Linked DNA regions of Caenorhabditis elegans. The protein of the gene in region 3 purifies or fractionates together with the protein of the main gene of each other region. This does not show direct contact. Each region holds a gene or a part of one and is shown on either strand. Other genes may lie near its edges.

Region 1 (8,117 bases), on a different chromosome or scaffold from region 3:
TTTACTAGATATCCCTGTTTGATGCCCATTTTTATCATCAACTTATGGGGTTATTCAAGTAATGTAGCAAAATGTATTTAAATACATGTTTTTATATACTTGAATAAGGTTGTGACGTGTAATTTTTCTACACTTTTTAATTTTCCGACACTACTTGAATAACCCCATTATTAAGTTTCAAGAAAAGGTGTATTTATACATAGAACAATTTTTATAATCCTTCTTAATTTCAAAATTCCAAATTTTTTGAGTTCATTGTTTCAGCCAACTTTGGCAAGTCTCCGGATTGAAACTTCTGAAGCTGCCAAATAAGCCTATATTGTTGCAAAACATTTAAATAGAAGAAGTCAAAAGTTTTATTAGTAGAAGTTTTGGAAATATTCCAAGAACGTATGAAGAAAGTTTGTCGGCCGAGAGTATTCAGCTGTTGAAATTTTCAAAACGTGTGGATTGCCCAATTATTTTTTAACAAACAGTTAAAAAGGCCACTTCATAGAGATGAATACCTGTCTAATGCTTCATACAACTCATTTTTCATCACTTTTCTGCACTTTGGATGGGTTTTAAATTATTGACATACTGACGAAAATTTGTTTTTACCGTATTCCCTCTATTAGTATTGCACCCCACTACTTAACTTTGAACTCGGTTCATTTTGAAGATATCAATGTATTATTAACTACGAAATGATAGAAATAAAGTTAAAAAATATTTTGTTAGTTGACAATTTTTTAATAGGACAAACGATGACTGAGATATAAGCTGTGAAAGTTGAACAATGGGGTGAAGTACTAATGGGGTTATTCAAGTAATGTAGCGAAATGTATTTAAATACATTTGTGACGTCACAAATGTATTTAAATACATGTTTTTATTTACTTGAATACATGTGTGACGTAATTTTTCTACACTTTTTAATTTTCCGACACTACTTGAATAACCCCATAATAGAGGAAATACGGTAATTAACTTTAGTGGTTCGATCCCATATTTCGCTTGAAGATATCAATGCTTCAAAATGTTGTTTAAAAAATTATCTTATTTCCAAGATTTAATTAAAACAAACCTCAAACATATCAACCCATCGATCAATTGATCTACCAACTCTCCATTCACTTAATTGAGATTTGGCCATATTTCCCCATCGACAGGATCGTAGCGGGCGTTCACAACTCAAATCAGACATTCTTTGAAGTGGACTATTATCATATGGAGGAATACGAAGAGATGAGAATGATGATGGGAATGCTGGAATAATTAATTTTAGGTAAAATGGGAGTGATTGAGATATTTTGTTAGATTATGAAGAGTGAGGCATTGGATTTTTCTGGATGTTCAGTGAAAGTTTAAAACTTCTCTAACAAATCTAGTTTTATTTTGAAAAATTTACAGAACAAAATCTTTTAAAAAAGGATTAAAAATATCGTTTTTTTTGCGCGCCAATTTGATTTTGACTGCTTCATATCTCGAATAACTTTAAAACTTACGTGATTGCTGGCAAATCTTTCCGTGATATCTGATATGATCAATGATTGCCAAACTTCCAACAGTATTATCTTTGAGATCAAATGCTCGAATTCCAATTCTGAACGGTTCCTTAATCGGCGGAATCTCGACACGACATTCCTCATTGGCGGCTCCCAAGAAATCACACTTCATTTTTGGTCTGAGCAAGACTTGAAGATGACGTCTACGATTCATTGCTCGAAGGATGATAACTTCCACTTGAGCATTGTTGTATAGCCAGAAGCTAGAAGGATATAACTGGGATTATAATTTTATTTTGGAATCTATGTTAGTTAGAGCACAGTATTTTGCCGATCGCATACTTTGTGAGCTTTTACTCAGGCAACTCAAATCTAATATGAAAATATTAAATAGCAATATTTTTGTAGTAAAAACGAGAAATTGTGCGTCATATAAAGATTACTAAAAATTTCGATTTTTTTTTTTTATATCAGCATTTTTCAAACTATTGAATCATAGAAGAACGCTTAGTTCGTTTTTTACATATTAAAAAAAATGCAAAGACAGTAGAGATCTAAGCTTTCAAAGAAGAGCAAACACATTTTATTTCAAAAAAAATTTAGGCCCTCCAACTTTGTGCTTAAAATTCTTAAAATTATCTTTGACAATACCTGAAAGTCAAGTTGGCAAATCCTTTTTGACAAGCAATTGGAGCACTGCTCAACACTGCTCCATTCGGATTTTTCGTCGTATTTCCAGCAATTATAAAATGTTCGCCTTTTGGAATTACAGGATTTCCGGGCTGGATTTGAACTGGGAAAGTTTTCTCGTCATTTTTCTGAAATTGTTTAATTTTTTAAAAAAGTTTTGAAAAATTGTAAGTATAGAATTTATAGATTTGTCTAACAAAATCGTCAAAAAATTTGGAACGCTTCACGAATTTGCGTGTCATCCTTGCGCAGGGGCCATGCTAATCTTCTCTGTATTGTTCCAATTTTAGTATATGTTCTCGGAAGAACAAACATTTAGATTTACATTTCAATTATATAGGGACCATTAACAATGCAGCTGGCATATTTGGAGTTATGTAAGACACTATACCAAATGTAGATGTAGATCAATAATTTGTGCACCTATTCTATAGCGATACCAATATCGATTTGCATCTCCACTTCCCTAGCATAGTCATAGTGTCTTACATAACTCCAAATATGTCAGCTGCTGTGTAAATGGTCCCTATATAATTGAAATGTAAATCTAACTGTTCGTTCTTCCGAGAACATATACTAAAATTGGAACAATACAGAGAAGATTAGCATGGCCCCTGCGCAAGGATGACACGCAAATTCGTGAAGCGTTCCAAATTTTTTCTATAATTTTTGGTGAACTTTCCAATGGTTCTAAAGTTGAACTGTATAATTGAATTGTCTGAATAAATTCTCGAAATGTTGCCACTTTCAATCGAGTTTTTGAAATGTTTTTTTTTTGAAACTTTCAGTTAAAACTAGTTCATAAAACCAATTAGTTGCCAAAATTAGTTGGTATCTTTTACATATTATTCGTCTCAAAACTGAAAGCTAAATATTGTATATTATACCCTGGCCTACATATAGCGTAGGATATGGAATTTCACATACATTTTTATTTCTAATTGAACAATTATACCACATTCAAAGTTTGTATTCAGCGAAATCTATAACTGAGATCGTGACAAGACCCACTCAGAAAAGGTTTTATATTCCAAAAAAAGAATAGAATGGCACAAGACATTTGAAGGAAAGTTTTTCATGAATAACAAACCTTAAAATACCACCAATCACTGGTATCCAAAAGCTTATCAGTCGGCGCATTTCTCCAAAGACATTCGGTCTCAAAGTCACAGTTGAGTTCATCAGGTGACTCAATATACGTGGCAAATCCAACGGCCTCTGAAATCCACGTGATTGTGGTTTTTTTTTGCAGATCCTCGTGGTTTGATAATTTTAGCTGTTTAAAAACAAAAAAACACTTCACATTAAAATTGCTTATTTATCACTAATTTTTAAGAACGAATCTAAAACCAGATTTTTTATGAAAGTAAAAATCGGCTGATTTATTGTTGTTACATACTTTTGTTACAGAAATTAGCGAAATATTAGCGAAATCTGGATAAAATACCGTAATTTTACTACTACTGTACTACTGTAGATTTTGAAGTACTTCATTAAAAGCTCACGGAATTATTCAGACGGGCCTCGGCGCGCAAAAAAGTTTATGGTAGTTTTATTTGTTCATTGGATGTAGTATTGTATTTTTTTTCAATGAAATCACATGGTTTTCAGCTGTAATAAATCGTTGACAATCAGTTTTCAAAGTTTAAATAAAAATTAAACTACCGCGAACTTTTAATTCCGTGCGCCTTTAATAAGGAACTACAAAATCAAGTAAATTTCCGATAAAGCTTAAATTTTTGGAAAAAAAAATCTCGTCAAAATTCAGAGTAAATCCAAAAAAAACTGGAAAATGTTGAAAAAAACATTTTTAAAAAATCGGGATGTGGCCATAAATTATTGAAAAAAAATTGAATTTTTCCAAAAAATCGAAAATTTAGACTTTTTTCGTTCGGAGCAAAAAACAGTAAATTCCTTCAAAAAACCAAAAAACCAACCTTCCACAGGAATCTCTCCATTATTATCTGGCCTAATACCAAGATACAAGTCTAAATATCGAAGCTCTTTTTGAAATTGAGCATGACATGCTTCTAGAGATGGTAGAAAAATGAGCAAAAGTGCAAATTTCTTCCAGATCATTATTTTCGAGAGGCAAAAAGGGTGTGTACAGGCGAAGAACAATGGCAGATGCGCGGGCCAGGAGAAGCAGGCGAGAGGAACGAACCGGCTTCCGAATCACTATTGATATGGAGAATAGACGGGTTCGTTATATCATTTGATCATTCACCGAATCCCCATTCAACCTGAGAGAGAGAATGATGGATTTCGGAATCAATCAATAATTTATTTGGACCATATTTACTATTAAGTTTTACATAAATAAAATTGAAAGGAAAAAAAAAACATAATTTCGGTATCACAGAAGACAGTGTGGTTTGAACGAAATGGAAAGAGTAGGTAGGGATACAAAAAAAACAGGAAGAAAATATTTTGCCAGCAAAATCACGGCGAATACGATATCGTAGATTTACAAGATCTCTGAGATGTCTTCTTAAAGGCGCACGGTTTTATGGGTCTCGGCGAGCCCAAAAAAATTTTTATGGTATTTAATTTTGTTTATTTTCTTTGCATTTATCACATAAGTTAAAAATTGTTTTAAATCAGTTTGAGAAAAAAAAACAAGAAAGCCGAAACATATCTGAAAAAAACCTGTGCGCCTTTAAGAAGACACTTAAAAAATCCTGCGAAAGTACGGTGTATGCGTTATAAATTAAATATTATACAGGAAACCTATTCGATTTAAAAAAAGAAAAGTTGATTGGAAGTATTACATGTTCTATGACAAGATTGACCCCCCAAAGAAAACAAAAAAGAAACCCGATTTTTAGTAATCCCACAGCCTTATTACTCGTCCTCATCATCTGTCACTGGCTGTTTTAGGTTTCGAAGAAGGCGTCGGTAGGCTGACATTTTATTGTGTTGATCAGCGAGAAGCATCAGAAGTTCTTCTTGTTCTTGTTTCAGTTTTGAAAACTCTTCGGAGTCAGCCTGAAAATTTGAAATGTTTGAATTATTTTCACTGAGATAAAGCTCAAAAGCTACTCATCGAAACGTTTTTATTTTAGTTTTTTTCCAGAGAAAATTGAAAAAAAAATGAAAAAGTGGATGAAAAATCTGTAGCAAAAAATAATTTCTTCAGAAAAAATCGAACCAAAATTTAAAAGTAGTTTTTTGAAAAACGAAATAATTAATTTTTTCATAGAAAAATTATATTTTAAGTGTTTGATATTTTTAGAATTTTTTATTATTTTTTCAGCTTTTTTCAAAAAAAAAATTGAAATTTTATCAAGTTTTGCTCAAATTAACCTCAAATATATAACTATTTTTATATATATATATATTTTTTCCTTCTTAAAAAAAAGAAATCTGTTAAAAAATCAAGGTTTCGAAAAACTGAAATTTTACACATTTTTTCGATTTTTTAATGAAAAAATCGATAATTTTGGTAAGATTTTCCATCTTTTCCAATAAAATTATACTTTTTCAGTGTTTTTTCTAGAAATTCCTGAAATTTCGAAAATTCCACTCGAATTCTACCTGTGGTTCGTGCTCCACAACTATTCCATTCGAAATTGGCTTCAAATTCAATTGCTCAATTTTATAATTGGCTTCAGCGAGAGCAGCTTCCGTTTTCGCGAGTCTATCTTTAAGATTTGCATTCTCTGATGTATAGTGGAGCATCTGAAATATGTAAATTTTATTTTTATGGTTATTTTATTTTTTTTTGGTTATTTTTTTTATTTTAGACCAAACGGAAGCCGAAAAAAAATTTTTCGAATAAATTTAAGCATCGAATTGTTTTTTGGTTTTTTTTGATTTTCGCAGATTTAAATGTTTAGTTTTTTGATCCAATTGTGTCATTTTTCGATTTTTCGATTTTCCGGAAAATCGAAAAAAATTTCCGAAAATTAACCACAAAATATGATTTTACAAAATCAAATTTTTGTTTTATTGATGAGAAAAAAAATAAATATTTTCATCAAAAAAAGAAGAACCCTGACCAAAATTTTAAGCTAATTTTTGAAAAATCGACAAATTTTTTTTTCGAAAAAACGAAAATTTTCGATTTTTCGATTTTCTGATAAAATCTCCTGTCTACCATACCGTTTGTGATTGCTGTTCGAATGCCTGATATCCAAATCCGAGTTGCTGCTCCAACTCGTTGACTTGTTGCTGAAGCTGAGCCAATCCCGTCTCTACACCATTCGGAAGCTGTGCCAACTGATAGGCTTGCCATTGTTGAGCCCATTGCTTGTATCGTTCGGCTTCTGCATACCATTGTTGTGTGAGTCTCTGTGACTCTACTAGCTGACTATTCAGCACTTCATTTTGAGTTTTAAATGCTTCAGATTCTTCTAATCTCACACGAAGATTCTCAACTTCTCGTTCCATTTGCTTATTCTGAACTTCTGCATTTAATTTCTCAATCTCAAGACTCATTCGCTTATTGTCTTGCTTCAATTGGGCAATATCACCATCTTGCCGTTTTATGAGTTCTTTATATGATTGAATGATGCTATCATTGCTAGTTCCATTAAATTCTCCATTCGGTTTCAATTGCTTAGCCAACGTTCCTTCGAGAGATTTGAAAAGTTTAACAAAGTGGAAATCGAGGAAAAGCTCATTTGTCGGCTGCTGCTTTTGTGCTGCTCTAACAAATTGCTCGGTTCTTGAAAGTCCCTCCAATGCGGACAGAATCAATTCCTTTCCAACACGTCTTTGAATCAATATTTCCATCGATGATCGTGCTTCCTTACTTTGTAAATTCTTCAAGCACGATAGTAGAACAAAAGCCATGAGTCCTCGTAGAACCTGCTGCTCACTCTCCGATCCTTCACCACATTCATCCACTTAAACTTTTGAAAATTATTTAAAATTGAATAACCGTTCCCACCTAAATTAGTTGTCAAATACTGTATATGCTCGTCTTTAGCCATAAAATCGGAAACTGCGGCTGGGCAATTTTGAAGCCACGTTCCCAGGAGCATCAGGAGTCCGGCTCTGGTCTGTGGTCGGCGATTTCCAGTAGAAACAAGTAGTTGGCAGACATGATTTAAAAGTGTCAATGGAGGATCCTCTGTGACTACGGTGAGGTTTACTCGAAGAAGTTGCTCGCTGAAAAAAACAACGGTGAATTTTTTTTGTTGGGAAATTCAATTCTTATAGTTAATTTTTTTTATGAATTTAAAGGTGCAGTACCGAAATCTCAAAAATATTTTTAAATTACTTCAAATTTCCGCTGATTCCGAATATTTGAATGAACAATTCCAAAAAAATTTCCCTGATTTTATATTTCAGCTTGAAAGCGTGATTTTCAATTGCGCCTAAATGAGACTTTTCAAACGCCGAATTTTGGCGCCAGAGACGTCATGTGTCGATTTACCAGATTTTCAATCTTTATTGGATAATGATTTCAGGTTTTTCGACGAGTTTCCTTTAGTTTTGCCAGTTTTTTTTTGAAAATGTGTTTTCCAAAGTCAATTAAACATATATTATCAAAATACTAACAAAATTTCCAATGCTGGTAACAACTCGACGGAAAATCCAAATATATGCTTTTCCTGACTGAAAATCAAAAATGTTGTTAGTTTTTTGATTATATAACGTTTAATTAACCTCAAAAAACACATTTTCAACAAAAAAAAAACTAAAACCGACGAAAATGAAGGAAACCCGGTTGTAAAACGGAAATCAGCATCCAATAAAAATTGAAACTCTCGTAAATATACACAAATCTCGTAAATCGACACACGGCGTCTCTGACTCGAAAATTCGGCCTTTTTGAAGAATCTCATGGGGACGCAAATGAAAATCGCGATTTCACGCTGAAATATAAAATAAGAGAAATTTTTTCGAATTTTTTCATATAGATATTCGGAATTAGGAGAAAATTTGAAGTCATTTAAAAATATTTCTCAGATTTCCTTTGAGTATATTTTC
Region 2 (8,290 bases), on a different chromosome or scaffold from region 3:
CGCTATCATCGGATCCGACGGGTCGGTTTGGGCTAGAAGTGGGGATGCCAACGCTTTCCGGGTAAGACGTTTTTTTTTTTTAATTTTTTAATGACTTTTTTAAAACTCCAAGGATTATTTAAAATCACCACAAAATTATAATTTCAGGCTACTGAGGTAGAGCTCAAACGTTTTGCTGCTCTGTTCAACGACATCAATTCGGTGCCTGGAACCGGCGCTGATTTGGAAGAAATTCACTACATTGTTCCCCGCGTCGAGGAGAAGCTCATCTTTGGAAAGAAGGAGCAAACCGGATTTTTCGCTGCCAAGACAAACCAAGGTGACCGAGTTCTTATTTCTTCCCAAAACGATGGTTTTTTTTTCAGCTATTGTGATTGCAATGTACGAGGGAGACAACGCTCAATCGGCTTCAGTCCGTGCCGGCGTCGAATACATTGCCCAGTACCTGGCCAGCTCTGGTTATTAGATACCTAAGGTAACAAAATACTTTTTGTTGGAATAGTTGATGAACCAATTACTATAAACAGTCTTATTTTCAGATTTGGAAGCAGTACGGTACCAGTTGCAACTCGATTCCCTTATGCTGCGCTATTCTCGTTTTTGTCTATGTGTGCGTGTTTCGCAATTCTTCATGTTCTATTCGGTCAAATTAATTAACAATTCATTGCTTGCTATATTTTACTCTCGTTCCTTACTATTTGCTCTCTCAAATTTTCTTTTATTAAAATATTCTTTTCACTCACTTCATTTTTCAATTTTCGAGGTTTCGGTAAGTCATTCCGAATTGATTCCAATTTCCCCACCCCCATCCCATTCATCCCATTCTTTTCTTAAGTGATTCTTTGAACACGGATTTTTCCTTTTTTTATTTTATAAATCGATTTTCGTTGACGATCAGCGCCTGATTCATACATTAATAAAACATGAGAGACGCATAAATGTAGAGAAAGAAAACTATGGAAAAATTGAAGTCAACTGCAAAGAATAACTGGATCCAAAAGAATGGATACTGGACTAACTTGAAGCTTTCGATAATCATAAGATTTTAGAGAAAATATCTCTCATAAAATTTTTTAATGTTTGACCCAGAAATATGGTACCTCCTGGTCTCGACAAGACTGCTCATTTTTGATGCAAAAAATTATGCTTTTCTTAAAAGGTACCGTATTTTTAGGTTTTGTTAATTTGAAGCTTATCGAAAAAGAAAGCAAAGTAGTGCACGTGAAGATTTATGAAGTGCGTTAAATTTAAAAAAGAATCAAGGAAAATTCGGCAAAGACAAGTTGAAAGTGTTACCAGGTTATACGACAATTGGATATTTTTTGGAAGTTTTTGCAGTTACTGGTTTCTGACATTTTTGGCTATTGGGAATTGCTAGCTCCTCGACATTTAAGCAATTGGCAATGTCGGCAAATGCTAGTTTCCTAATTTTTCAAGCACGCAAAAATTTTGATAATTTATGGTTTTTGAAATTCTCAGTAATTTGCCGTATTGGAATTTGCTGATTTTATTTGTGTTTTCTCGAGAAATGTTACACAAAATTTTCTTTGTATTTCATGACTACTAGAACTTATTCAAAACACTTTATAACATTAAAAAAAATGAAATTCTTATCAGAATTCTCTTTATTGAAAGAATTTTAATTATAAAACCAATTCTTGTTGATATTCAAAGCATAGGTCACACATAATACAACAAAAAAGACAAAGGCACACAGAGAAAATATTGAATATTAAAACACACAATAAACGGCAGAAAAGCTGAGAACGATGAAACGGATAAGTGAACTCCATATTATCAGTTGGAAAATCTGCCAAATTAAAAATTAGAAACGAATCAAAAAGTGAGAAAGATCTTAAAGCGATCAAATTAGTGACTGGTCGTGATGATGAGGGATGTGCAATAAAGATACAGTGAAATACAGTGTAATCAGAGTTGCCGCAATTTTGCAGCAAAACAACCATATGTTTGAGCATTTAACAAATAGGAGTAAAGTGGCAAACGGCAGATTGAATAAAGAGAATCAGAATTAAAACAGCTATAATTGAACCAATGATGATGCACACCTTCATTTTTCGAGCTCGTTTTTGCAAGTTTCGGGCTTCTTCCACATTTCCACGCGCTTGTTTAGCATATTCCGTGGCATTTTCTACACTGTTAACAATACTGTCCACCATCTCTCCCTGAAACAAAAACAAATGTTCAAAATGGTTACTTTATTGACAACTAGGTCGTTTTTAGATTGAGATTTTTTTAAAAATATAATTCAATATTTCCAAAGTTTAAAGCTGCAGTTTTGATATTGAAAACATATATTAAAAAATAATTTGGATTTTAAAAAGATTATTGGAAAGCAACAGTAAGATGCATTGAAAAATTCAAAAACAGTGAATGGGGATCATTTTTTGATCGATATAACAGGAATGCAGGTCCAGGTGGGAGAGCAAAATTAGACAAATTACGGAGTCGAAACATAGCTCCTCTCTTTATTGCGTTCCTGACAGAAATCACAATAGCGCTCCTATGAGAAAATTCGAAAATAATTGTGAAAGGTTGTCTAGATTTGCACTGAAAAATAATTTTAAAGAAAATTTTGCGTTTTGATTTCGGCATCGTATCTCGAACAATTTGTTGCATTTGTTTTTAACAAATTTAAAACTCCTAAAATGTAGAAACTTTAAAAAATTACAGTTGTAAAAACATATACAGAATGAAGCAAAAAAATTACCAAAATCAATAATATATGAATTGAAGCCGAATGATGTACCTCTCCCCGAAATGCATATGAATTTTATTCCTTTTCACGCGATCGCTTTTTATGTGGTTTTTTTCGGAAAAAAATAAAATAAATACTTGCCTGACTGACAACCATTATATGGAGATCGTGGAACATTTGTGCCAGTTCGCCCATCTGACGTTCCAAATTTTTCAGCTCATCCGCTCGGGATTTAACTTCATCATATAAGGCCTTTTTCTCGTTTAGCGCCAACATCACACCTTTTGTTACTTCAGAAAGGTTTCCAGAAGATACTGCATTTTCAATCTCTTCATCGCTGAGTTGCATGTTTCCTAAAAAAAAAATTTTGTTTACTTTGCGATTCTTGTAAAAAAAAATCTTCATAAACTGTATTTTTTTCAAATATAAGTTAATGTATTTTCCGAAATATTTTCAGTCATCAATATGATAAATATTTTTTTAGGTTTTCCATATTGTAAAATTGTACCAACTTTATTCTGAAAAAAATACAGCAGCTGACATTTTACGGGTCGATTTTTTACTACAATTTGTGAATCAATTTGAAAACTACGGGACTTTGCAATACAGTTTTATTATTTATTGAAACAACTGGGCATTGGTTTTTTTACTCGGAAAAAAAGTTTTTAAAACAGGGCGTCCGGTTCGAAAGTTTTATGAAAAGCAGTAAACTACTTACTAATTTTTAGGTAGTCCACAATTTTCCTCTTTGCCTTCTCTTTATATTCATCTTGTTCTCGATTAAAGTTCAACATGATATTTTCGAAAGTCTTGTAAATAGATTTCACTTGATCACTTTTCGCACGCATAATTCCGCACGCTGTAGTTGGTATTCTGCTGGTTTCCTCCGATAAAACTGAAAAAAAGTTTCTAATTCAGATACTCTAGATTCCAATCAATTACTTTTCAAACTATTTTTGATTTGTTCCGCTTTTGAGAAAAACATCTGGTTGTGACTTTTCAATTTGTTCGAGTTTTCTGAATCCGCACCAGGCGTGGACAGAAGTGCTCCGTGGAGTTGCACGACTGCGTCGTAGTCTTCCTCGAGACTTTTTAATCCTCCGCGAATATTTGAACATCTTTCTAAGAACTGAAAAATGAGTATAGTTTTGGGATGTTTGTTTTTAATTTATTTGTTGCTTTGTACTTGTATTTTGTACTTTTTTTTCAACTTTCTTTTATAAACGACTTCAATGAATTGAACAATTTCAAGTTCATTTGGCATTATTTTTTATGAAAATCGATGAAGTGATTAGTTCACTGCGTTTGAGCTTTTTGAGCCTATTCATCACTTTTCTGTGACATTTCTGTGTTTTGGATTAATTAGAATGAGCATTTTCGTAGTTTATGTACAAGTACTCAATCGAAGAAATTAAGCAATTCCAAAATAAAGTTTCATTATCACTTGCATCATCTATTACAGAACTCCATGTTTTGATGTTTTAAACTAGATTTTTTGTCTCAAAATGCCCAAACATTTAAGATTTTGTTTCAAAAAAGGCTGTAAACAAAACACTTACCATTTCAAAGTCAGCATCTTGATTTATTAAAGGTTGGGATTCCACGTCATATTTTCGTGCAGGTGGATCATAATTATATGCATGTATAGTGTTAACTGTTGCTTTTTCCTGAAAATTAGCTGTTCTTATTATGAAGATAACTTGTACCAACAAAATCCATTTGAGTACCCTCAGAACAGGGCTAAGTTTTTTTTTTTCGGAAGTTGAATTTGTTTCTCCAAAATAGACAACGACCAAAATTTTTTTTGACAAGAGCACAAAACAAGCAAAAACTAAAAATTGTGAAATTGGGAAAATTGTTGTTTATAAATTTGAAATTTTGCATATACTTACGCTCTAATTACAATTACGAGGGTCATTAAAATTGATAAATTTAAAAACGAACAATCGTCAGCCCTTTTCCAGATACATTTTTGAGATTCGTTATTTTACTGGTTCTTGTTCATAGCTAGCATGTTGAAAAACTTAACAGCAAAACACATGTTTGTTTTTGTTTTAATGTTTTGTGTATAATTAACATTAAAAACATGTTTTTACACCTTAAAACAAACCCATTTAATATATGACTCACTTGTAATTCCTTTAACCGATCCCTAGGCATTTCTGACTACGACGAATTCCTGAAATTTATTATATTAATTTTGATTTTTTTTCAGTAGAACAAGCAAAACCAAACAAAGAGGGGAGAAAAATTTCAAGTATTTTGCTGATAATATTTTTTTCTCATCTTTTGAATTATATTTTTCAAGAATGTTGTTATCATTTAAAAATAACTCGCGTAAAAACGATAAAAAGAATTATGAACTTTTCCTAGAAGCTTATAGTTTTTGGAGCAAATAGCAATGAGAAACTATGTTCGAAATTTTAAAAAATCAAATATCATCTGTGTGGGAGGGCTGAGGGAAAAAAGAGAAAAAATATATTGAGACCAACAACTGACAAGATGAGAAACAGACGACGATTTTTCGAGAAAGATTCCACTGTGAAACACATTTTCATCTTATTAAAACAAAAATCGTACTTTCGTCATACCTATGCCGCAAAAAAGATGGCAAATCGGAGAATTTAAAAGTGAGAGATAGAGAGGTTGCAGGTGCTTGACTCGGTCAATACAATATGGTTTTTAACAATTTGTCGGCTTGTTTGTTTTCAGCACTTTTTTCTTCGTCTCAACCAACTCATTTCGCATGCAGCACACAGCACAGAATATATGACATAAAGTGAATTAGAAATTGGAAATTTGGAAGAAAAACCCAGTTGTCTTCAAACAAAAAGTAAAAGTAAAAGTTTTGTTGGAATATTCCATCTTATTCCAATATATGTAACTTTTTTATTTGAGTAGGTAGCCAGTAACCAGAAGAGTAAAAAAGAGAAAAAGTTCACTAACCAAGAACTACAAAAGGGTATTTAAAGGGCACCATCAAATAGGAAAATAGCTACAACACAGAAAATGGAGAAGATTGTGGGCAATTTGAAGCGGCGAACATGCTCCGGACGCATGCACTAATTGTGCACAAACGCGATACAATAAATGAGATTTGAAATAGAAGGCCAGCATGAAACCAAAAAAAAGGGAAATTTTTGAGAGGGAGCAAGTAGACAAAAAGAGTGAAATGGGGTTGCAGAAAGGAATGAATTCATTGATGACCCATGGAAGCTCGCGATGGCGGGGGGTTTATGTCGTCTATTGTGGTTGTGTTGTTGTTGTTGCAATTTCGAGAAGTAGAATGACATCACATATCAGATGGCTCGTAATCAAATATATTTCTCGTACCACTTTTTTGGCTTTGCGTTGAATTTTTTCTGAAATAAATTTTGTGAATTTTTAAAATCCATATAAAAAATATAGGTAAAAAATAAAGGTTTTGCGCTCATCTGGAGCTCATCAGAAGCCCGTTGCGTTGGCCTCTAAAGCCAAAAATGTGTTTCAGGACACTCTATGAAATACCAACAGTTTTGACGTGTTACATTTTTGTTTAATCTTTATGAATTGGTCAAAATAGTGGACCTTCGTTGATTAGTTGATCAAAACAAAACAATTTAAAAGTCTAATGTTCCTCAACAAAAAAAACCATCTGATCATATGCTAATCACTTTTAAAATTATCTTTTCGTTTTCTGGTGGACTTTTAGAAAATACCTTTTGTTTCTAGAAAAGCACAAATTTTGAAAAATCCACATTTCACTGTTTTAGGTCAAAAACAAAACTTTCTGAAATTTTTAAAAATTGTCAATAAAACGAAGATTTTATTTCAAAATCATTTTGCTAAAATATTTGAATATCACAGTGAAACTTTTCAAAAACGTTCTGAAATTTTCTGATTTGAAGTGGTGGAAACACAATTTTCAGCTATCATAATTTTCAAATATGCCAAAACATCGTCTCTACGAGTTATATAGCTTAATTGCGTTTCAATTGTTGGTATTTAAATATGCTACTCGTTAAAGCATGCAGCAATGCTCAATCAAAAATTCTCGAAAAGTCCACGTTTTTGAAAAATTTGCCTATTTACCAAAACATTGACTTCTGTGAAGACCTAAAATCTTTGGAGGGTTGTTTCATATTAATGAATCAAGGTAGATAATTTATAAATGTACTCTAGATCGAAAAAGCAAAATTAAAAAATGCTTACCTCGTCGATAAATTGACACAGGCACATTTGCGTTTTACAGTGTTTTGGGGCGTAGTTGGAAACTCCATGAATTGGCTTGCTCGGGAATATTAGCCGTTTCTAAAAACAACTTCAAATTTAGACATTATCTTGCTCAATGTTACCTTCACAACACTTTTCACATATTCTTGACTATATTTCAAAATTAAGGATGCGGCTTCTCTTTCAATATTTTCATCGGTGACTTCTTCTGAATTACCGCCAAATATACATCCGCCAGTGCTTTTGATTTTCAATTGTTTGATAACATCGGCAGTACATTCTCCAACATTGAATCGGATGAAGTGGATCTGAAATGCGTTTTCTTAGTTAGTAACAATTGTCCTTAAGCATTTTTCAAATTTGCTTTGATCTCTTATCTTACCACAACTTTGTGGCAGCTCAATTGTCCGCGATCTTCCACTCCAGTCAGAAAGTGTCGATCAACAATTATCTTGTTTGCTTTCTCGACAACGTGGTTCAGTCCAATCCGTATCTGCAAGGCGAAAATGCATTGCCTCTTGCCCCCAAGTTTCACACAGAGCAGTGATGCTCTCTGCCCAACTTTTCATTGCCACATACCCTTCTTCTTATCATTGCACACGCGTACACTCCAACAAAAAGTAGCACCGCCCATACAAGGCACCAAATCATGACAGGCCATCCACCTTTTGATTGGAAAAGAAGAGTGATCGTTAGGGTTAGAATCCAGAATGTCATCCATATTGCGATCAGGCGGGAATATATCGTGGAAAACCTGGAAAAAATAACAATCACAAATTGTATATTTGGTATTTGTGTGTAGTAGCATTTTAATTATTTTTAAGGTTACTTAACTCAATTATTTTTTCGTTATCAACATTTAAAATAGCAAATATATACATTATTTTTTGTTCAAACCAAAACTGTGCGGAACGTTTTATTGGCACAGTGAAATATTTTAAAAATTCCCATTTTCTAAAGGTTATGTAGAATTTTTTGCTTGTAAAATTGTTTGGAATTATAATATTGTGCCAAACTGGGCATTTTAGCGGCACCCCTCTGATTTAGAAATTGTTTTCTTAATTTAATATAGCCAACGACTTCTACTAACAACTAACAAAAAGTTGAAAAAAAAACTATTCCTAAATATAAAGCAGATTTTTTTTATTCATCTATTTTCTGGAAATATTTGTGATATTTTAGAATTTAATTCAAAAACTCACATTTTAAACCGACTATCTTCAATAAGTGCCTTGATGGTTGCAATGTAGTCTTCTCCAGTTAACTTCAATTTTTTTTTGAAATTCAAGCTTAAAACTTGGAAAAATTACCGTTGGAACGTCAATTGCCAAAATGGACGGCATGCTGTAAGCGTCATAGTGT
Region 3 (6,940 bases):
AATTTCATCTGCTCAATGATTTTTAACGTCTGAAATTTGAAACATAATAGCAGATTCTTGTTGATAGTTAACCATATACATATTATCAAACATTTTGTCATTGAAAACCGTGAGAAAATGAACTTTGATATTAGCTCTTTTTTTTAGAATACTCGCATTTTCGCTTGAATCTCTCTGAATCAACTTCTGACTTTAGATTTTTGAAAAATTGCTTATAATTCCAGATGTCATCGTGTTCATCATCACCATCATCCATAGGTTGTACATCATCAATTCAAGTTCGATGTCCTCATTGTCCATCATCAGAAGTATATATTCAAAGTCCTGAAGAACTTTGTGGACATATGGCTCAGTACCATGGCACTCACTCGATTATGCAATCGAAATGTTTCGAAAGTTTCGCCTATTTCCAAATATGGCTTGCAAATATTGAAGATTCACGATGTGATGGAGGATATTTGGGATCAAGTCAAGGACCATCATATGAGGATGTAAGTTTTAAAAAAAACTTTAATATTTCAATTGTTTTTCGATACTGTTATTTAATAGTTTATACATGTGGCATTGCTCCTAAATGACTATGACTACTTAACATTGAAAGGTTATGTCTCAATTCATTTAGTAGATATAAATAAATAAATAACTACAGAAAAATAGAAAAAGATTCTACAAATACTTTGTCAGTTGACAATTTTCGTATAGGAAAAACCAAAACCGAGATACAGGCTGTCAAAGTTGAAGATAGAGAAAATAGAGACAATACGGTATTTTTTCAAACAATTTTTTGGAGACCAGATTGAATTTTAACAAACTCAAAAAGCTTCTAAACCACACAAATACTCAATTAACAAATTTGTTTCTAATCTTCTGATTCAGGAATACTACCTCCTGTGCCGCCGCCGTCCATCAACGACAACAAAACGTCGCAGGATGTCTGATGATTGTGCAAGTAACGAGCTGAATAGTTCAATAGTTGCTTGTACAGCATTTGTTCATGTATTCGAGACAATGGATGGACGTGTAACTGTCAGATATTGTCTTGATCATTGTGGACATCCAGTTGAAGTTGACGATCATCATAGAAGAGAAACTAAAAAGTTTGAAAATCGATTAACATTGAAGAGAAGCTCACCGTGTGCCACATATGAGCTGTGTGATGAGAGTTGTGATTGTGAGGTGAGGGATTTTTGAATTTATATTAAATAGAAAATTATTTTAGTTTATAATAAGCTACAGTAACAAATTATATTTTAAACATTGAAAAGTATCTATACTGAAATATTACCTGTTCACGAAAAAAGTTAGGTTATAGGGGTACGGTAGCTGACAAATCAAATTCAAAATCCTGCAATAAATTACTGTATTTTCGTTTATAACGTAAACATTCGAATATTTACAGCAATCATCTTCATCAATGGCTTCATCTCCATCATCATCAGTGGATTTCGAAGATGAAGATGCTTCAAATAATAACTACAAACTACAAGAATCAATTGATGCATATGCAGTTTCAAGTCTCAATGCAATAATTAATCAACGTCTTGATTCAACAGCTGATCGTCTCAAAACACTGACAAAAGTGCTCCAGGAGTTGGCTGTTGATATTCGGAATACCGATTGTCGGATGGTTATCTGAAGAAACTCAATTTGAAGGATTTTTCTTTTTTGTTTCATATACAAAGTATATTGTATATTGAGGCGCAGAAAAATGCGATGTTTGAAATCAAAGTGCAAGCACGTTCCACGGCTAAATAAACAACTCTCCGCCCCTAAACGTTGGGTCTCGTTAGGTAAAACCGTAATTCAAACTTTTTCAAGCAGTTATAGTTAAAAATGTATGTGAAATTAAACGTTTCAATCATTTTAATAATTTCATCAACATCGAATGTTTAAAAACGTTCAAATTTTCGGTTTTCCTAACGAGACCGAACTGTTGAGGGCGGAGCGTTTTCATTTGCCAATGGAGCGCAGTTGCACCTCGATTCAAAAGTTCTCATTTTCTACGCCTCCATAATATCACTTTTGTATTAAAACAAAGCAAATATTTCCATTTCATCCAATCTCCCAATATTTTTCTTCTCGCGTTCTCTGATCCTCTCTCATTCTAACCATTTCATTTTCCATTTCTTAAAATTCCCGGTGGTCTTAGCCAAAACTTTTTCCAGTTTTCTAGTCCATCTCAAAAATCTATACGTCACAAAAATACATTTCACAACTCAAAAAACAGTCGCCTCTTGCTTTTCTGAACGAATTCTCATAATGTAAATACATATTCTTCCTAATATTTATGAATGTCATAATATTTCCCCTCAAGACTGTTACTTAAAAATGAAGACAATTTCCATGGAATCAATATTCATGTACATATTCACAAGCGACATCCACACACAAAAGCATCCAGATTATACATTTAAAGTTAATATAGAAAGTTCAAAGGGGAATTCGAGGTTGGATCTATCACATTTTTCTTTTTTTTTTCTAATTTTTTTCACATCAATTTATGAACCAATTTTCTCAAAGAAAGAACATAAATGATAGAAACGTGTTAGATTCAAGTTCAGAGATTTAACTCTAAGTGGAGTGTTGGAACAAGAAATAAACTTTTAAATAAGGTAAGTTTAGGGGAATTGAAGTGTTTTTGTTGCACTAGAGGACGGTGAGCCGGAAGAAAAAAAAGTAAAAAATCAATCATTTCCACAAAGACGTGGCCTTCATCATGAGAGACATCTTTGTCGAAGTATCCATGCTTGGGGTCAGAGACTCGGCTGTAGTTTGGCTTGTTGATGCACCAGTTCCCAGAATCTTTTGCATCTGAAAATATGTCAGTTAGTTGAGTTAACTCTTAATATATTTATCGTGTATCTTGTTTATCCTTACTTGTTTATCCTGATCTCTAACAATTCCATCGTTACGTTCAGCTTTGTATTGAATACGATCGAGCATCTCATTTTGTGAATCGACCTCTTTTCCGAGATCGGCTCCAAGACGTTGCAAGTTCCGAAGATTGGCGGACATCATGTCAAGATTCTCATCAATTTGATTATCCATAGCTTCCCAACGTGTACCTTTAATTGCCGAACGACTAGATTCGGTCAAGGTTCGTTGTCCAGATGGTCCAGAGAATGTTGCGGATCCACCACCGCTGGAGAGGTTGGTAGCGGTTTCCGACAAACGGGATGCTGATTTGGATTGCGGGACCTATAAATATATCAATTTTATGACGTATTATGGTATATTCTCGGAAAATTATTAATTTTTATATCGAAAATAAAATGATTCCAGTAGTTCCAAATGTTATATTCTACTAAAATTATGTAAGATTTTGAACGCTTTCTTTATTCAAAAACAATGCTCCATTTTTTAATATTAGAAATTTATCAACTCTCCAAAAACTCAAAACTCGTGTTCTTTGAGACTACAGAAATCCTATAGTACTTTGTAGTTTCTGAATACAAAAATTCCAGTTTAAAAGTTAAACTCACAGTCGGAGTTTCCGTCGGCTCTTGCGGTTTCTTCGTGAATTTATTTTTGAACATTCCACCGAAAAACGACTTCAAACTATTCAAATTGCGTTGTGTCATTTGCGTGGTTCGATGAATCTCATCTAAATTCTTTTCAGTATTCTCAAGCTTCTCCCGTTGCTCAAGCAACTGCTGAGCAGTCGACGTTCCGATTTTCTCCGAATTTTCGAGATGACGACGAGATCTTTCCGTACTATCCAATGATTCCTGCAGAGTTTTCTCGATTTCACGCTCGTAGTAGTCTGCTTCGTCTTCTCCGGAATAATGTCCCATCGTAGTGTAACTTTTTACGGGCACTGAAACAGAGAAAAATCAATTTTCTAGAATTTTTCCGTACTAGATAATGCTTTTAAATTTTCTGATGGATTTGTAAAAAAATAGAATTAAAAACTCACTTGTAGAAGAAGCAGCACTCGGCCTGTAGTCATCATCGAATGGATTACGAGACATTGATGAAGTTTCTAGAAGTTCAAGTTTACGAAATGAACAGAATAAATAACTTTTTAGAATAGATACAAATGGCGGAAAAAGTAATATAACCGCGTGAAAAAAAAATGAACAGTGAAAATAAAATAGTATATGCAATATTTATAAAGAGACTGGAAACCAAAATGTGGTGGGGAAAAAACTCGAGGGGAAAATAATATACATGAGAAAACGCGGGAGAGGGGAAGAAATTAAAATTAGCACAGACACCAGTACATATAATATACGATTGACTATTTGAAAATGAAAATGTGTGTGGCAAAATTAAAACGTACAAGCATTTCTTCTATATTAACCTATTCAATTTCTCAATTTGTGAATTATGACAAACATGAGAAATGTTTATTCCAGTTGAGAATATTTGGTTGGAGTCAAAATTTTCGATTGCATCTTCTTGATGAGAGGCACTGAAAAAATAAATATTTGTTTCCGTTAAAAATAACAGAAAATCTGATTTTTAGGTTATTTTTTCGGTTTTTTGTTGCGAAAATTTCAAAATCCTATGGCATTTTGTTTGAAAATTAGGAAAAACAAGAAAAAATCGAAATTTTCTAGATTTTAGTGTGTAAAAAATAATCAAAAATCCGGTTTCCCGCGGGAAAGTCAGAAATTTCGGGTTTTTTCTAAAATTTGACAAAAAAGTTTGTTTAATTTTTCTCAATTTTTTGTTTTTCATTTGTATTATTCGAGAAGACAAATTTCAGACTAACCAGTATTCGCAACAGTTGCATCCCATCCTGGCTTTGCCCAAGTAGCATGTCTCGTATCGTTACGGCCTGACATTGATGGATAAGCCCAAATGTGATAGACAACATAGAGTTGTCCAACTTGAGCAAAGAATCCTCCAACATCTTGATTCGCCTCACGTCTGTATTGAATTCCTTTTGCCCATGCAGATGCCCAATCAATCATAGTTCCAGGTTGAAGAACATATGAACGAAGATCATAAACATGATTTGGTGGTCGTTGTTCTGGTTCTCTCCAATAGCTGAATGATTTTACTATGAGATTCTTGCGGCGACCACACAGTTTAGCAACGTCATTATCAGCTGCACGGATTCCAGAATCTTTTCCATGAAGAGAAATCGATGAATCAACATCTTCATAACCTTTGTTATGTCTCCACAGATGAATTGCCTGATCACGAGTTCTTCCATAAGCACATGTCCATGATCCAACAAGTTCAATTGATGGATTCTTTTGATTCATTTCGTTTTTATACTTTCCAAAAGCATCTAAATATGCATCCTGCTCTCCTGGGCGGTAGTTGTGAGCTGAAAAATATTGTTTTAAAAAGTTAAATATATGACACAAATAAGTATTTTATACAGTCTATTTTTTATTTTTCATCTATGACTTCAAAGGCGCATTAAGACATTTTTTAAAATCAATGGGTGGCGCGTGGTGAGACCATTTCGTATAAATGCGCGCGCCTTTGAAGTCGTAGAAGAAGAATAAAAAACACTGTAAAATAATAATAAAATTGTTATAAGTAAAATTAGTATTTAGAGCATTTTTCAAAAATTTAATGACAGAAAATGAATCGTAATGACCAAATATGTCATTTTTGAAAAATTCACACTTTTTCCAGATATAATACACGATTTTTTAAATTTTGCAAAAAAGTTTAATCGGGTAAATCGTTTTTGATTTCCCGAAAATCATTATAATTTTTTAAACAATTATTTTCGCTCATTACGGTTCATTTTCTATAATTTAAATTCTCAATTTTTTAAAAAACTTACTCATGAACTCGTACATGAGCTCTGAATTCGAGAGCAACGACGAATGTGACTGTTTCTGCCAACTCGATGGATCCATTGATTGTCCCTTGAGCAATCTACTGATCCATCCCTGCTTCTGCGGCTCACTATTTTCCGATTCATTCTGACACTGGATTGGTGTGGCAGATAGTTGTCTGAAAACTTACATTTATTTAAAGAGCTTTGACAAAAAAAATAATGCAAAAATCTAAAAAGGAACTAAAAAATAGGAAGAGCAACAAGAAAAAATCAAGATCTAGATATACCCTAGAGAGATAGATTCCTAAAAAAATTGGAAATATTTAAAGCCAAAATTAATCTCCAGTAGCGAAGCAGTGTGTGAATGTCGGAATTCGATCAAGTTGTCCTTTTTCCTTCGCATTATGAATATCGACAATTGTATGAACTCCAGTTGGCATCCAGACACTTGAAAACCTAAAATTTTGACAATAATGTCTAGTTCAAAGTTACTGAAAATAAAAAATAACCAAAAATAAGAATATTTTTGGATTATAATTTTAATTTCAAAACTTTAATAATCACCCATTAGCATTTCCGAACATGATATCCGTATCTAGACGATCACCAAACATCACAGTCCTTTTTGGATCCACATGAGCTCTTCGGAGCAAAAAGTCTGCCATCGGTTTATGTGGTTTTCCAAAAACTTTTGGATCTCTTCCAGTCACTGCAGTTACAGCAGCAGATGTTGCTCCAGATCCAGGAATTACAACACCTGGAACAGGACCTGGGAATGTGTAATCTTGATTTGTGACGAGATATTCTACACTCGGATCTTGTAGGTAATTGGATGCTTTCATGATTTTCGGATAGCTGAAGTGGGCATCATAACTGCAAACGACGGCTTTTGGAGCAATAGACATGTCAACTTTGTGAATGAAATCTCCATCAGTGTGATCGCGAATACTATCCGGTCCAGTTCCAAAGCATTTGACACCTCCGTCATTCTCAAGTGTTGCTTTCAGATTTTCCGTACCAATAAGGTAAACATATTCGCCCGAGAACTTATCCGCGTTACTTTTCAAATAATCTGCCAAAACGATAGCTGGACTAATAACATTATTCCTGCCGAGATGTCCAAATCCGAGCTTCTCAATCTTCTTCATATATTGTTCCAACGTCTTTGTAGAATTGTTCGTTAAAACAAAG
Region 4 (7,844 bases), on a different chromosome or scaffold from region 3:
AAGGAGTGGTTTTTAACAATTTCCCCACTGGCGCTACTCCACCTTTAAGTGTTCAGGTAAAATGCCAGCCACATGGGATAAGCAAATTCAGACATCTAAGAAAAAACCTCAATGGCCCCAACTGTGTTTTCAAAAAAATTAGCCAACGTATACCTCATTTTTTGAAGAAAAAAATTCCAGCCTGAGCTTTAAGACATTCGTTTTGGCTCAAAAATTTTTTTGGCTCGCAACGTTATTAACTGCCATAATTTAGTGTGTAAAGCAGTTTCGAACAAAAAATTTGCAAAAAAAAAATCAAGAAATTTTTGGACTGTTTGCTATATCAGTAGATCCACAATAAATCTCGGCAATATATTCTAAATACAGTATTACAGATTTTATTTGAAAAATGGTGAATGCAGTTCGGTTCCGACTCTACAACGATGAGTTGCAGAAAATCTGCCCCAGACCAGTGCTCAATTTGGCAGTCAGAAATCGGAGTTTTCAAAATGTTTATAAGTAGGTGAAAATATTATAACTCAACTTGAAAATGTTTAAAACTACATGAAAAGTTAATGAAAAATAAATTTAAAATATTAGTTTTTTGTTAGAAGTATTGAGAATAACCGAAATACAAGATATCATACCATTGATTGAAAACTGGAAAAAAAAACGTGAATACACAATAATTTTTGACATCAGAACCATTTTTGGAAACTTTTGATCTACAAAATTTTTTTCATATGGATTTGATCTACACATTTTTGTGCGGCAGAAATCGTTTTTTTGTGAGTAAAATAACAGAAAAAGAAGGACAGAGGGTCTTTTAACAATTTTTTGCTTCTTTTTTCAATTTTTTTGCATATTTTCAAAACCTGATACCCACAATTTTCTAAAAATTCTTTCGAATTTCAGCCATGAACAGACTACTTCGTCTTCAAATCATGATCCCGGAGTTGTTCCTGTATAATGAGGTAACAGCTTATAAGTTTAATGTGTTATCTAAAATTTAAAAGAATCAAAAAACTGAAAATTTAGAAATAGACACACGTTTTTTCAGACTCACCAAGGCCTCAACAATCAAAACGTACATGCTGTTGGAGCCTATTTCGACCAACATGATCCCGAAGGACTACAACAAGTTGTCCCGCTTCTCAACGAGGCTGCTGCCAACCAAGACGTTGTGGTAATTCATTGAATTTTAATAAATTTTCCGTTTGAAAAACCTTGCACGCCCTGATTTCAAAAACTCTTTTGATTTTCAAAAAAGTGATAGAGTTATGTGTGATTTTACTTAAAACCTTTCATTTCTTATCAATTCAATACAAACTATTGTTTTTTCAAAATCGTCACGGCCTCAACAACCAAAATTTTTGGTCCACTTCCAATTTTATTCCAAGAAAAAACCCTTAAAGTTGAGTTGGTATCACTTCAAACTTTAATCTAATTTGAAAGTTGCGGGAATATAATCCATAAGTATTGGTTTTTCTTTGTTCGAAACATCGTTTTTTTTCTTTTTCTGAGTTTTCACTATGCTACAAAAAACGGAAAATGGCTGGAATTAGATGTTTTCAATAAGAACAAAAAACGATGTTAATATTTAGAAAAAATAACTTTATAAGCAGTATAAATTTACTTTACCGTATTTCCTTTATTAGTCTTGCAGTCTCTATTAGTCTTTCACCCCTACGGACCAATCGAAAATTAGCCTTGAAGTCTTTATTGGTATTGCAGCTTCTATTAGTCTTGCACCCCTCTTTCTGACAGACCAGCAATATTTTGTGGAACCTTAAACAAATTTGTCATTTTTCGGCTGAATTAAATTTTAAGGTGTTCAAGCAATTGATAAAATAATAAAAAAAAGTATGTATTTTGTGTGATAGACTGTTTCAAGTCAAGTTTTTGACGAGAAATTGTCAATTTAAAAAGTTGTTGGATTATCGAACGTTAGTCTTGCAGCTCCTGATAGTCTTGCAGTCTTTATTAGTCTTGCACAATTAGTCTTGCATGCAAGACTAATAGAGAAAATACGGTATTTTAAATATAATAAGCATTTCTTTCAGGTCATTGATTCAATGGCATCGTTAGTCGACCTGTACACCATGGACTCCCGCGGGCTCCACGAAAGTATGTTTTTTTTTCTAATTGATCTGAAAAAAAATTGATGTTGTATTCTTACGATAAATTTTATTTCGTTTTCTAAAACTCACTCATAAGTGAGTAAAAATCGATAGAAGTTATAAGATAGCGAAAATCCGAGCTTCAATCAATTTTTTTTTTCAGTTTGCGACTTGGCTACACCTTTCTTCCAACTTCTTGCCCATCCACGCATTTCGATGGAGGTCAAGTTATTGATTAACAGACTCAAAGGAGTATTATTGACTCGTGATGCAGCGATTCTTCAGTTGATAATTCAGGTTTACGAGAATATTGCCGAGGTGAGCTTACATAGCCATTCTTTCTCGAACCGTCTAATTTTCAGGGCGATCAAGAGGCTGAGGAAGCCGACGAGCGAGTGAAAGCGTTGCTGGCTGAACGCTTCGGGAATGACATTTAATTAACAAAAATTTGCAAATACTATTATTTTACTTCTTTTGGAATGTACTGTAAATTTATCTGGATTATTTTAACGATAAACAACATCTCACTATGTAAACCAAGTGATTACAAAAAATTAGAAACTTAAAGTTGCCATTGAACCAGTCCAAATGACTTGGGTTTGACCAAAATTGATATCAGTCGTCCATTACTTGAGATATCAAGCCATTCTTCACAATTGATAATTTTTTCGAGAGTTTCTCTGAAAAAAAACGAGTCTACAGATTAGTTCCCCAACAAATCACCCACTCGTTGCAATAATCTATGGGTCGTGTGGCAGGATCCCATGGTTTTGCATTAACTTCTTGATAAATGTTTTCCACGTTCAATTGGTAGCCGGGAGCTAAAGAAAAGGTCATTGTTTGGATGTTTTGAAAATTTATGTCCGTTGTCCATTGGTGCAACCAGTGCATAACTTGTTCAGACGAAATAAATGCATTTTTGGCGCTTAAATGACGCCCCTTGAATCGAGGGATTACACTGTCAGCCATTAAACATGAACTACCAAGAAACAATCTCTTGATTGAGAACAAACCACATTCATCTTTAAGTTCACCATCTATCTGTGGATACAACGACAAACTGCCTAAGTTCGGCCATGTCGAAAAGATTTGATCTAGAAAGGTGATTGGGATTGTATCTAGCTTAACCATTTCACTTAGAATAATGTGGTTGACATTTCGAATATTTGAGAAATGGTGAATCTTTTGTTGACTCATTCCTTGCTTCCAAAAAAATATTATATTTGATTTGAGATGTGTTTGGTGGAGGTTCAAAATCGTGTTTCGAAGCATTTCGTGAACTACTTTTAAGGTTGATCCATTGAAATAAAATTTGATTATACTGCTGGCTTCATGGCACGGAGTTGCGCTGAAATGCAAAATTAAAATTATTTACTGTGCTGGCCACAAACGGGGCTTCGTGAATTTTGGACTGTGTTAAATTAACCATAACTTAAAAGCTAATCATTATTTTCGAAAACGGTCAACTAACAAAACGTTGGTCATTATGTTGTTGACATTGCCTGACCGATATTATTTTACAAAAACTGCCCTGAAAAACGGTACAGCGACAGACATCTGGCTGGTCGATTTTTGACCTCGAATCTGAAATCGTCTGTAACTCAAGAAAAAATCGCTTCCATGAGAATAATTGAATTAATAACATGATCTTCATAAACATTTATGCCCTATGCATATAATAACTTTGTCCTCAACCCGCCGGGAAGTGAATGATATACAACTAAGCCTATATATTCCAAACTGTTGTGGATCATATTTCATAAAAATGATAGGACTTTTCAGAGTATTGTTTTCAGGCGTGAAACGACCTACATAACTATGATAAATTATTGATTCTTCAAAAAAACAAATGAATAATCAAAAGCAATCATTATTTTCGAAAACCGGCAACTAACACAATGTTGGCCATTATGTTGTTGACATTTCCTGACCAATATTATTTTACAAAAACTGCCTTGCAAAACATTACAGCGGCAAACATATGGCGGGTCGGTTTTTAACCTTGAATCTGAAATTGTCTGTAACTCGATAAAAATTGCTTCCATGAAAATAATTGTATTAATGAAATAATTTTTACTAAAGATGGAAGCGATTTTTTCTTGAGCTACAGACGATTTCAGTCAAAAATCGACTAGCCAGATGTCTGTCGCTGTACTGTTTTACAAGGCAATTTTTGTAAAATAATACTTATCAGACAATTTGAACAACATAATGACCAGCATTTTGTTAGTTGACAGTTTTCGAAAACAACGTTTAGTTTTTCAATTATGGCCATTCAAACAAAGCCAAAAAAAAAAACGAAAAACCGTTTGTGCATATCTTTTTGGCCAGCATTGTATTTACAGTAAGACTTTTGTATTACATGTGTAATATGGACATATTGGATACCCTATACTTACAGTCTTTCGGTCAGAACTTTTCAAAGTACAGTTTTTGAAAATTTTGATTGAGCTCGGCTGCGCTTAAGAGAACTCAAAAACGCTGATAATCAGGCTAGTATATTTTCAAAACGTAAGGAACTGACCAGTAAACCATTGTTTGTCCAATTTTCAATTTAAACCACTTTTCTTGCTGAATAATGTCTTCTCTTGACGCTTCTCTAATTAAAAACGATAAGTGTTCACTTAAATTATTAATGTCCTTCATTTGCATGACGTAAGAACGTTCAACGGATAAATTCGAACACGAATGGATCATCGACGAGTATCCTTTTTTTATTGATTTTCTGGCCAACGTTTCAGTTTTGGAAGAGCAAAATGAAAAGTTAAGCACGTCGATGAAGCTCATTTCCTGAGGAATTTGCCTACGGATCACAAGTGGAAAGGTGAAGAGGTTGAAGGGCATTCTGAAAAAAAAAACTATATACATTATGTAATAAGAGGAAATGGTAAGCAGCAACTTATAGAGAAAAGAGAAAATTCAATACAAAAGTAATTGTTTTTTTTTGAAAAAAAAAATTGTGCATAGTGATAGCGATAGTGCAGGATTAATTATCAATAGAATTGTATAAGTGCCAGGCTCATAAAAAACAGCGATTGAAAATAAAGCCATTGAGTACAGAGCAAAACCGATTAAAGCCTCGATGTTTTATTCATCTTGATTTGAACTTCAACATTTTCGGGGAAAAAAACGATAAAGCACCATGAATATAACATTCATACAACATTTGGTGGTACCTAAAAACTTCAAAAATATGGAGCTGTGTGCTGGCCAACCGAGGGGTCAACCATGTGACGTATTGCGTCTTCCCACCGATGCAGTCTCCCGCTGGTCTATGGAATTGCGGGAGGCGTCAACTTGCAGGACCAATTTTTCGCTGAAAACGGTTAAAGGTGGAGTAGCGCCAGTGGGGGAATTGCTTTAAAACATGCCTATGGTACCACAATGACCAAATATCATAGTAAAAATTAAAAAAAAAATTTCTAAATTTTATATGATTTTTTGAAAATTGAAAAAATCTCGAATTGCATCAAATTCCTATTTGAATTACCGCCAATAGTTCGATGTTCGATGGAGCGCGCTTGCATTATTTTAAATTTAAAATTTCGAATCTAAATCTTTGAAATAGATTATTTCAGGCTCAACGTCGTTGAAAAACGTGATATCTCTGTTTTCAATTATTTTTAGTGAACAATCTACATTTATCTTGAATTTTTCGATAAATCTCCAGTAAAATTACTCAAAAAAAAACATGAAAAATCAATTAAAAATAAGAAAAATTAATAAATAAAAGTTAAAATAATGCAAGCGCGCTCCATCGAACATCGAACTATTGGCGGTAATTCAAATAGGAATTTGATCATTGTGGTACCATAGGCATGTTTTAAAGCAATTTCCCCACTGGCGCTACTCCACCTTTAACTAGCAACATGTATAGATTCTTCTTATGAAATCTAATTTGCAAAAATTAGAGCGGTCTGATGGACTAGATTTTCTGAGCACTTTTTTTTTACGAGTCTACTGTTCAACAGAGTGAAATTTAGAATTGAAAGCTTAATAACTGCCGAGAGTTTATAGGGCCCCAGGCCCTATAAACTCTGACTAGATCTTGCCTACCTGTTTTTTTAGACAAAACACCATCTGTCCTAAATAACCGTACCACCCTTTTGCTCAGCGAAATGACCCCAGCTGCAAATGCGCCCTAATTTCCAGCCAATATAAAATCGATATAATCTCAGTGGGGTCTTGCTGTGCCATTCTCGTCGTTACACCTGCACACTATGTTAAATTCAAAACCAGTAAGCTACCAAGTATTGAAGTTCATATTGAAGCATTTGGATCCAAGTTTGAGGTGAGTATTTTGGCTTGGAAAAGTTACGTATTTAGAGGGTTGAGTTTTGAGAATGACGGAGTTTTCGGAGTTGAAATTTTTGGGTATAGAGGAAATTCATCCAAATCACAGCTCACATTATGTTTCAAGCTTTTTGCTCAAGTGCCACACAATTTTTTAATACATAGCTAAACCTACCTAACTATAAGTATATTTCAGAATCCAACTCTGCCTCGTCTGCCCTTCAATTCATACCTTAGAAAAATCAACCCCTTCCTACATCCACTATCTCAAGATAACAGATAACAGCGTGACAGTTAACCGGGTAACCTGTCAAATTACAGTTACCGATAGAAAAGTTGATTATCAATTTGATATCAATCAATTCCCAAGTATCAGTGGTACAGTCGAACTAAGGAATAGTAGAAATAATCTGACCAAAACTATGAAGTACCTTCTCGACAAACTCTTTAAAGGAAGAACTGTGAAAGTGGGCCAACTTGCAATTTCTTGTGAAAATCCTCTACGGGTTCCGTTAGCTGCCAGGATCAATGTCAATGTTTTGGAGGTTTTTGATTCCCGGAGCTTGTCGGCTGCTAGTTCACTAATTGCAAACTCTTGTCTACCATTAAGCTTGATAAAACTCCCATTTAAAAGCCTTCTGAAGACTAATAACAATCCAATTACATCAATAGTAAACCGAAAAACTAAAAAATGGCACTTCAAAGCTCCAACCACAGCTCCACACAACCTCAGGCGGGTACTGACGTTCCTGCAAAATCGGAGAGTTACAACTGCACATTTCGAAAGGGGACACTTCTGCTTTTCAATTGTTATAGAATACTTTATGGGTGATAGTGATATAGAAAATGGAACTTATTATACATTTGACACAACTAGGGGAGCTGTATTTGTAGTTATGGAGAGGAGTAGGAAGAGGTATAAAGCGATGTTGGAAGATGGGTAAGTTAATCTAAGGTTGAATATTTTCAAAAAAAATCTAAAGTTGAATACTTTCAGATCTTCTCGACGTTCCAATCAGCTCACCATCAAGAAGAACAGCACCTCGAAATTGGTTATCAGCAAGATACAGCAGGGAGATGCATGGATTTTGGGTTTCAAAATTGAGCGGCGAAGACTTTTCCCTACTTTTTTTTGAGAACAACTAATCGTTGAAAAAATGAAAGAATTCCTATGAAACTGTTTTGTCTTGTGACTTGAGAACTATCGGATTTCTGTGTTTTTGGAAAAATATCACAGCGGCAGACATCTGGCAGGTCTGATATAGTTTTCGTTTAGAAAGATTCGTACTTTTTACAACTTTTCTAAAACCTCTCCATCCCAAAAAAGAAGATTTTGCAAGGGTCGAGCCACTTTCAGAAGATACTCGATCAAAAGCTTCTGCATGCCAGGTCAGGATAATTCTGAAGCTAGAGATCTGGTTCAGGGACACCTGATCAAGTTATTTGACCACG

The links.
Region 1: the proteins of snap-29 (region 3) and mam-3 fractionate together in Caenorhabditis elegans (co-fractionation; one large-scale study listed by BioGRID). This does not show direct contact.
Region 2: the proteins of snap-29 (region 3) and syx-3 purify together in Caenorhabditis elegans (affinity purification with western blotting, with the first as the bait; one study listed by BioGRID). This does not show direct contact.
Region 4: the proteins of snap-29 (region 3) and C32B5.15 fractionate together in Caenorhabditis elegans (co-fractionation; one large-scale study listed by BioGRID). This does not show direct contact.

What each region holds. Positions count from the first base shown.
Region 1 is NC_003282.8:13,441,011-13,449,127, forward strand, and holds the start of mam-3 (MAM domain-containing protein), read right to left. Parts: upstream 4,366-8,117; 5' UTR 4,257-4,365; coding exon 4,115-4,256; intron 3,396-4,114; coding exon 3,268-3,395; intron 2,837-3,267; exon of another isoform or gene 2,735-2,836; intron 2,492-2,734; exon of another isoform or gene 2,374-2,491; intron 2,306-2,373; coding exon 2,139-2,305; intron 1,751-2,138; coding exon 1,488-1,750; intron 1,249-1,487; coding exon 1,067-1,248; intron 1-1,066. Other genes in the region: uso-1 (Uso1_p115_head domain-containing protein), read right to left, coding at 5,022-5,165, 5,715-5,858, 6,282-7,027, 7,072-7,292.
Region 2 is NC_003284.9:5,345,703-5,353,992, reverse strand, and holds syx-3 (Putative syntaxin-3), read right to left. Parts: upstream 4,896-8,290; 5' UTR 4,877-4,895; coding exon 4,847-4,876; intron 4,384-4,846; coding exon 4,276-4,383; intron 3,846-4,275; coding exon 3,659-3,845; intron 3,612-3,658; coding exon 3,435-3,611; intron 3,070-3,434; coding exon 2,854-3,069; intron 2,180-2,853; coding exon 1,977-2,179; downstream 1-1,976. Other genes in the region: pfn-2 (Profilin-2), read left to right, coding at 1-61, 148-319, 366-466; C26B9.1 (PH domain-containing protein), read right to left, coding at 6,031-6,078, 6,908-7,006, 7,051-7,236, 7,311-7,421, 7,508-7,682, 8,131-8,192, 8,239-8,290. UniProt on the Caenorhabditis elegans protein: Potentially involved in docking of synaptic vesicles at presynaptic active zones. Acts in the intestine to regulate anterior body muscle contractions (aBOC) and the expulsion steps during the defecation motor program (DMP).
Region 3 is NC_003281.10:8,773,297-8,780,236, reverse strand, and holds snap-29 (Soluble NSF attachment protein 29), read right to left. Parts: upstream 3,985-6,940; 5' UTR 3,972-3,984; coding exon 3,917-3,971; exon of another isoform or gene 3,861-3,916; intron 3,818-3,860; coding exon 3,483-3,817; intron 3,199-3,482; coding exon 2,878-3,198; intron 2,812-2,877; coding exon 2,689-2,811; 3' UTR 2,342-2,688; downstream 1-2,341. Other genes in the region: K02D10.4 (uncharacterized protein), read left to right, coding at 225-491, 877-1,176, 1,400-1,636; Putative NipSnap protein K02D10.1, read right to left, coding at 4,350-4,414, 4,718-5,281, 5,753-5,925, 6,314-6,940. UniProt on the Caenorhabditis elegans protein: SNAREs, soluble N-ethylmaleimide-sensitive factor-attachment protein receptors, are essential proteins for fusion of cellular membranes.
Region 4 is NC_003280.10:967,984-975,827, forward strand, and holds C32B5.15 (F-box domain-containing protein), read right to left. Parts: upstream 4,968-7,844; coding exon 4,624-4,967; intron 3,448-4,623; coding exon 2,827-3,447; intron 2,780-2,826; coding exon 2,662-2,779; 3' UTR 2,560-2,661; downstream 1-2,559. Other genes in the region: C32B5.6 (Resolvase/invertase-type recombinase catalytic domain-containing protein), read left to right, coding at 423-498, 895-953, 1,040-1,165, 2,043-2,106, 2,263-2,417, 2,462-2,536; fbxc-14 (F-box domain-containing protein), read left to right, coding at 6,320-6,390, 6,589-7,332, 7,390-7,528.